2 linked regions of the Sus scrofa genome follow. The protein of the gene in region 1 binds, or shares a complex with, the protein of each later gene. Links are inferred from orthologs where the notes say so. Each region holds a gene or a part of one and is shown in the gene's direction. Other genes may lie near its edges.

Evidence for each region.
Region 2: VPS39 (region 1) and VPS41 share a complex: the UniProt entries of both Homo sapiens proteins name them as parts of the homotypic fusion and vacuole protein sorting (HOPS) complex. The link is inferred for Sus scrofa from reciprocal best matches to the Homo sapiens genes VPS39 and VPS41.

The regions. Positions count from the first base shown.
Region 1 is NC_010443.5:129,164,653-129,168,470, forward strand, and holds part of VPS39 (vam6/Vps39-like protein), read left to right. Parts: intron 1-80; coding exon 81-179; intron 180-639; coding exon 640-732; intron 733-2,981; coding exon 2,982-3,165; intron 3,166-3,818. UniProt on the Homo sapiens protein: Regulator of TGF-beta/activin signaling, inhibiting SMAD3- and activating SMAD2-dependent transcription.
Region 2 is NC_010460.4:55,292,489-55,296,732, forward strand, and holds the start of VPS41 (vacuolar protein sorting-associated protein 41 homolog), read left to right. Parts: upstream 1-1,166; 5' UTR 1,167-3,864; intron 3,865-4,244. UniProt on the Homo sapiens protein: Plays a role in vesicle-mediated protein trafficking to lysosomal compartments including the endocytic membrane transport and autophagic pathways. Acts as a component of the HOPS endosomal tethering complex.

The DNA.
Region 1 (3,818 bases):
GAAAACCTCTAATTCAGTTGTCACTCAGTTACGGAGTCATCATGAGCGCATCCTCATTCGCTCTGGGTGTCTCTTCCCAGCACACAGAGACTGGTGACGAGGTGTTGCGGATGTGTGTGGCCGTGAAAAAGAAGCTGCAGCTCTATTTCTGGAAAGACAGGGAATTTCATGAATTGCAGGTAAAAGTCCACTGTTATCTGGTCCATGGGTTGGATGGGAGCTGCTGCTAAACTGACCCACAGCTTGAAAGACTTACTGTTCAGTTCTCATGAAGCTCAGGAGCTCCATCTTGGAGTTCTCCCTAGAAGAATGCCCTGCTAGTATGAGTACCTGGGTGTTACTTGTGCCCACTTGTCTACATTTACGTCTCCTGGCCTTCAGAAGCTAGAGTAACATCATTCTACAACTGTACAGATTAATTTCTTTCAAAGTGGGTTTTCTCCTCTTCCAAATATGCCTTGTCCAGTTCATGGGTGACATATATTTTTATTATGGATGGTTTCCTGGCCTTGTGCTAATAAAATTGTATTCAGATGAGGGTGCGGGTGATTTTGCAGAATGGAGGTGAAAGAACAAGAAGGTCATTTTTTTTTTTTCTTTTAACATCTTTCCAGTTGAACTCTTGCTCTCTTTCTTCAGGGGGACTTTAGCGTACCAGATGTACCCAAGTCCATGGCCTGGTGTGAAAATTCTATCTGTGTGGGCTTCAAGAGAGACTACTACTTAATAAGGGTAAAATTCAACTGTTTTGCAAATATCATCAGCTTGCCTTGGGGAAGGTGATTATAAATTTACCTGGGGGAGAAGGTAAATTTATGTGCTTCTGAACTATAGGTCAAGAGACTGCCTTAAGTAGAGTCTTTGGCATAATAGGGTTTGTGTTTGTATGCTTGGGTATTTTTCATGCTTTGAGCGTCTTCCACAAATAAGATGTCGGTGTAACTTAAGCCAGACAGAATCAACTCTCAGATCTTTATATAATGAATTATCCATGTCCTGTGTCTAGTTATTGGACTAGATAATTAGGGCTGCTTGCCTCTGTTTAATAGCATTCTGATGGACTGCTGTCTTGAGGCTTGAAAGCTCAGGAATTATATACTAACTGTAGTATTAACTTAAGTATTTTTAAGTCTTGAGTTTCCTGCCCCCCCCCCAATTTTTTGCTTTTTAGGGCTGCACCCTTGGCATATGGAGGTTCCCAGGCTAAGGGTCCAATCAGAGCTACATCTGCCGGCCTATACCACAGCCACAGCAGCGCCAGATCTGAGCCACACCACAGCTCACGGCAACACCAGATCCTTAACCCACTGAGTGAGGCCAGGGATTGAACCCGCAACCTCCTGGGTCATAGTCCAATTCGATTCTGCTGCACCATGATGTGAACTCCCCCAAGATCTTTTAATATATTTGTTGTAAAAGTTATTTTCAGTTTTTTAAAAAATTTCAAAAGCCATGTGTTTATTGTAGAAAATTACAAAATGTAGATAAGGAAAGTAAGACAGGCAAGTTATCCATAATTCTCCCACTCAGAAATAATCACAGTTAACCTTTTGGTAATGGGCTTCTGTGTCTGTTTACCAAAATATCGTGTTATACACATTGTTTTATACCCTGCTTTTTCTCTTAACCTATATGGTAAATATCCATGACATTGGTAGTTTTACCCTCTAATATGCATACTAAATGTAGAAAAGGTTACTGCACCATTCATTTTATAGGACAGTATAAATTCCTCAGCTTCATACCCCTCTCATAAAACAGACTTGGCAATCCTCGAAGCTCTCTCCCCACCTCCCACTTCCCTACCCCGTGCTGTGTTAGCTCTTCATTGTTTATCCAGTGAATATCTTGGTTCCATATTTTTATTTTTGGAATAGCACAGTTTTATCAGCATCAGCACCTCAGGCCTGTAGGTGAGTACTGCTGTGCCACTGACTGCATAGCAACTAGGTAGACAGGTGCCTGAGAGAAGCCTGCGAGGGGTAGGAGGCGGAGCCACAATTTGGAGGAGGCTCTCATTTCTCTGCCTTAGATATGGCCATCACCTTCTTGAGGGTGCAGTGTTTTGAGGGCGGGAAAGCTTGCTTCAGGACCAGGTTATTCAAAACATACTCATTTATTTACATAGAGTAAAATTTATTCGTTTGGATCTACGGTTCTGAGTTTTCACAGATGTCTAGAGTTTCATAACCACCACCACAATCAAGATTCAGAACAGTTCTCTCACCCCCCAAAATTCCCTCATGCTGCCTCTTTGAAGCCAGCCCTCCTTTCGCACCCCAGCCTCTAGTAACCACAGATCTGTCCTTTGTCTGCTACAGTTTTGCTTTTTCCACAATGTCATATAAATGGAATCATACAACGTGTAGCCTGTTAAGCCTGGCTTCATTCACTTAGCATGATGCATTTGACATCCATCTGTGTTGTGTGTGTCAGTATATTCCTTTTTGTGGCTGAATAGGATTCCATGGTATGGATGTACTACATATAGTTTATCCATTCATCAGTTGAAGGACAAAGTTGGTTACAATTTTTAGCCATTATAAACAAAGCTGCTATAAACATTTGCCCCCAGATTTTTGTGTAAACGCAGGTTTTTGTTTTTCTTGAGCAAATGCGTAGGAATGGGATTGTTGGGTTCCATGGTAAGTGTGTATTTAACTTTATGAGATGCCAAAAAACAGAGTGGCTGTACCATTTTGCATCCTCACCGGCAGCACATGAGAATTCCACTTGCTCTGTATCCTCGCCAGTACTTGACATTGTTAGTTGCCAGCCTAGATGCTTTTCTCTGTGTTAGAGAAAAGCATATCTTGTGGTGACAAAATTTGTCATAACAAACTCTGTAATATTTCTTTATGCCAAATGACGAATATTATTGGCTTCTGTAGGTTTGGAGTTTTAACTTGATTTTTCCATGCCATCGTGTTCATGCCTCTGGCTGGAGAAGGCTGGGTGACTCACTCTGTGTCTCCCTTTAGGTGGATGGAAAGGGGTCCATCAAAGAGCTCTTCCCAACAGGAAAACAGCTGGAGCCCTTAGTTGCACCTCTGGCAGATGGAAAGGTGGCCGTAGGTCAAGATGATCTCACCGTGGTGCTCAATGAGGAGGGGATTTGCACGCAGAAGTGTGCCCTCAACTGGACGGACATTCCAGTGGCCATGGGTGAGACCACCATAACTGCTCTTTCCCACCTTGGGCTTGGGCTGTGTGCCACCCTCAGATTGGAACCCCATTGGTAGCTTTAGCTGACTGTGGTTTCCACTGTCATTCACTCTCAGTTCCTCTTGTAAGTAGAAAAATATTTTAGAATAATTAAAAATGGGATATCCTGGAGTTCCCATTGTGGCCCAGTAGGTTAAGAACCTGACTGGTATCCATGAGGGTGTGGGTTTGATCCCTAGCCGTGCTCAATGGGTGAAGGATGCAACATTGCTGCAAGCTGCGGCATAGGTTGCAGATTCAGCTCAGATCTGGCATTGCTGTGGCTGTAGTGTAGGCTGGCAGCTGCAGCTCCAATTCGACCCCTAGCCTGGGAACTTCTGTATACCACAGATGTGGCCCTAAAACACACAAACAAAAAAAAAGGATATTCTGGTTTTTGTAGGAAGTTGGGTTTTGCCCTAGAGGAGAAATCATGTAATAGAATTGTACATCTCAGGAAGTGAATGTCTAATGCTATTTTTACCTCTCAGTTCCTTTTCTTTGACCTTCTTTTTAATTGTTTTATTGTGTCCTCTGCCAAATGGACTACATTTGGAAAGTATTGGAAGTTCTTTATTTAGTCCTTTAATGTGTATAACTCAACATCCAAAGGT
Region 2 (4,244 bases), on another chromosome or scaffold:
CTGCGGCATATGGAAGTTCCCAGGCTAGGCGTTGAATCAAAGCTGTAGCAGCCAGCTTAAACCACAGCAACAGCGACACCAGATCCGAGCCACATCTTCGACCTACACCACAGCTCACGGCAACGCCAGATCCTTAACACACTGAGCAAGGCCAGGGATCGAACCCACATCCTCATGGATCCTCGTCGAGTTCGTTAACTGCTGAGTCACGAAGGGAACCCCCTCAGCTATATTTCTTTTAAAAAAAATTTTTTAGAGGTTGCCCTCGAGTTTGCAATATCCATTTACAACTAATCCAAGTTCACTTTCAGATAACACTGTACCACTTTACAGATCGTATGAGCATCTGACGATGACCAAATGATCCTAATTTTTTCTTCTCATCCTTTGAGTCTTTGCTGTCATTCGTTTTACTTATATAAAAGCATATACATAAGCATATGTACATATACACAAATGTATACATAAGTATCCATTGTAGTTGAAAACATTATTATCATCAAACAAACTTGTAACTACAGATCAGGTAATAGTAAGAAAATTAAAGGTTTTGTTTTACCATCACGTATTCCTTCTTTGACGCTCTTCCTTTCTTCCTGTAGATCTGAGTTTCTGACTTTTAAAAATGTCTTTTAACATTTCTTGCAAGGCAGGCCGACTCGCAACAAAGTCTTTCAGTTCTCGTTTGCTGAGAGTCTGTTCCTCCTTCACTGTCCGAGGATCATTTCACGAGACCACAGAATTCGAAGCCGAGGTTTTGTTTGTTTGTTTCTTTTTCAATGTTCTCACTATATCACTCCATTTTCTTCTTGCTTGCATGGTTTCTGAGGAGAAGTTAGACGTAATTCTTATTTTTATTCCTCTATAGGTGAGGCATTTTGTGTTTTTTTTATTTTCCCTCTGCCTTCTTTCAGGAGTTTTTCCTTATCTTTGGTCTTCTGTAATTTGAAAATGATATGCCTAGTCGTAGTGGGTTTTTTTTTTTTTTTTTTCCCACATTTACCCTGTTTGACGTGCTCTGAGCCTGTTGGATCTGTGATTTGGTGTCTCACATTAATTTGAGGAAATTCTCAGACATTGTTTCAAATATTTCTTCTGTTGCTTTCTTTTGCTGTTGTTTTGTTTTGTTTTTTAGGGCCGCACCCACAGCATATGGAGGTTCCCAGGCTAGGGGTCTAATGGGAGCTGTAGCCACCGGCCTACACCACAGCCTACACCAGGCCCACAGCAATGCTAGATCTGAGCTGTGTCTGTGACCTAGACCACCCCTCATGGCAACGCTGGATCCTTAACCCACTGAGCGAGGCCAGGGATCAAACCCTCAACCTCGTGGCTCCTAGAAGGATGCGTTTCCGCTGTGCCACGACGGGAACTCCTCTTCTGTTGCCTTCTTTTCCTTCTGGTATTCCCCCATCACGCCTGTTTCTCCTTTGGTAGGTGTCCCACAGTCCTTGGATATTCTGTCCTCTTTTGGTTTTCCTGTCTTGTTCTCTTTGCTTTTTGATTTTCGAGGATTCTTTTGGTATATCTTTTGGTTCAGAGATACTTTCCTCAGCGATGTCTAGCTTATTTATAAGCCCATCCAAGGCATTTCTCCATTTTCATTACACTGTTTTTATTGCTAGCATTTACTCTGGTTCTTTCCTGGGATTTACAGCTCGCTACGGATGCTGCCCATCTGCTCTTGTGCACTGTCTACTTCGTCCTTCAGCGTATTGATTGAATATGATGAGCGTTTTAATCATAGTTGTTTTAAATTCCCAGTCTGATCATTCCTGCGTCTCTGCCCTGTCTGGGTCTGGTGCTTGCTCTGTCTCTCCAAGTTGTGCTTTTGCCTTTTAGTGTGCCTTGTACTTCTTTCTTAATAGCTGGCCATGATATTCTAGGTAAAAAGAAGTGCCACAATAAAGCCTTTAGTAATGCGGTGTAAGGCGTGGAGGGAGGAAAAGTGCCCCTGTAATTAGGTCTCAGGCTTTGAGGGAGCCTGTGCCTCTGGACTCTAAACTCCACAAGTGCTTCTCTGTTTTTTTCCTTCCTCCTTAGGTGGGACAGGATGGCTAGAGTGGGGCTGGAATTAGGTATTTCCCTTCTCCCAGGGGAGTGAGGCTCTGGTTAACTACTTTACCTGAGAGCTGGCCTTGTTAAGAACAAAGCTGACTTCACGATGGTTTCTTTTTGCCTCCTTTCCCTGGGAACATGATGGGACTTTCCCCCAGTATCTACCCTGGGAAGCTGATTGAGCTCCTGGTGGCGAATCTCACAGTATTGCTGGGGGGACACACACTGGGGCCCCTAGAGTTTCTAACCGTCAGGCTTGTCCACGGTGAGCCTCCAGCACTGTGTCACATTCAGTTCAGATGTTCCTACCCTGGCATTCGTTTCCACTGTGGCTTCTCCGTGTGAGTCCCTGCTCTGGGATGCCCTGACTCTCCCTGTCGCCCTGTGGGTCTCTCTGATCTAGAGGACAGGGCTTTGCCCTGTGCCCTCCCCTCACACAGATCCTAGAATTATTCATCTTTTCCCTCGTGTTCAGCATTTGACTTGTTGTTAGGGTGGAGTGGGGACCTCCACCTTCCTTGTTTGAAGAAATGGAAGTCGGAAGTCCCCAGAAAATAACATTTTTTAAGGCTACTTTCCTTTTATCTGTACAAGCCCTCTGATGATCCCTGCATAAAGTTTCCTTTAAGGGGCACGAATCCCCAGTTCTTTGTTTTCTTTTTATGTAAACAAATAAGGCTGAAGAATGGTCACCAGGAACTAACACAACATTGTGAGTCAATTATACTTCAATTAAAAAAGTAAAATTAAAAAATAGATACATTTTCTTAAAAAGCACCACCTGATGCAGTACTTCCTCCGTGAAGTCTTCCGAACCTTCCAACCAACGCCCATCACGCCCATCTGGAGGCCTCCTGCGGCCTCTGACTTGACCAAACACCACCCTCGTCATGCCATTCCACTGCTCTGCTTAAATCCTCAGTGTCTCCTCGCTTTCTCATAGATGGGATGGTGGCAGGACACCAAGAAAGTCTATTTCTTGGGAAAACATAATGAAATGGAGATACATTCAATGAATTCATTCCCTAATTAATTGATTTAGTCATCAAATAATTATAAAGGTCCAATTATATGCCAGCACTGCTGTAGGTGCTGGGCACATGTTTATTTAAAAATAAGTGGCTATCTTACTATTTTAAATATATTTTTTGGTTTTAGTGCTTGTTTGTAGCTAAGCAATAGCAAAGTCAAAGACTCCAAGAAAACATGTAAGAGAAAAATTTTAAATGTTATATGTTCTCGATTAATTAATTTTCCCGTCTGAATTGGGAAAATGCTGTGAATGTTTCATTTTAGTGATAAATCCTTTTATCCAAATTAAGGCACCCTTGTTTCGCAGAACCTAGCTGAGAACCACCACACTGAGTCTAAATTACATCCTCTTCGGTGTTCCTTCAAATTTGCATATTCGCAAAGATTATATTTTAGTTTGCATTTTGCCTTTATTGCGTAGTCCCCTTGTACTTCAAAGACCATTCACCTCTAGCACCAGACTTCTCTGAGCTTCAAAACCAAATAACCAACTGTCTTTTGGACATTAGTTTTCAAGTCAATAAAAAAAAAGATCAATTTCCCAGCAGAAAGAAGAGCAAGAGTAGAAAAATGCAGAAAACAACTGAAAATCACGAGCAAATACATGAAAAACATAGACTGTTCAGAAATCAAACAAATACAAGTTGAAACAACAAGTAAAGGACTACGTCTCGGATGGCAGAAAAGGAACCAGTGTTTTGGACTCCCGGCAAACATGCATTCTGTATCAAGTCCAGAGGACATAGATGGAAGATATACTCCTTTTTTGATGAGGTATTTTATTTATTTATTTATTTATTTATTTTTGGTCTTTTGTCTTTTGTTGTTGTTGTTGCTATTTCTTGGGCCGCTCCCGCGGCATATGGAGGTTCCCAGGCTAGGGGTCCAATCGGAGCTGTAGCCACCGGCCTACGCCAGAGCCACAGCAACTCGGGATCCGAGCCGCGTCTGCAACCTACACCACAGCTCACGGCAACGCCGGATCATTAACCCACTGAGCAAGGGCAGGGACCGAACCCGCAACCTCATGGTTCCTAGTCGGATTCGTTAACCACTGCGCCACGACAGGAACTCTTGATGAGGTATTTTTAACACAGTGTTCGCTTAACCTGCACAGAAACTGAATACTGAAATGCACCAAAATGGCATGCTTT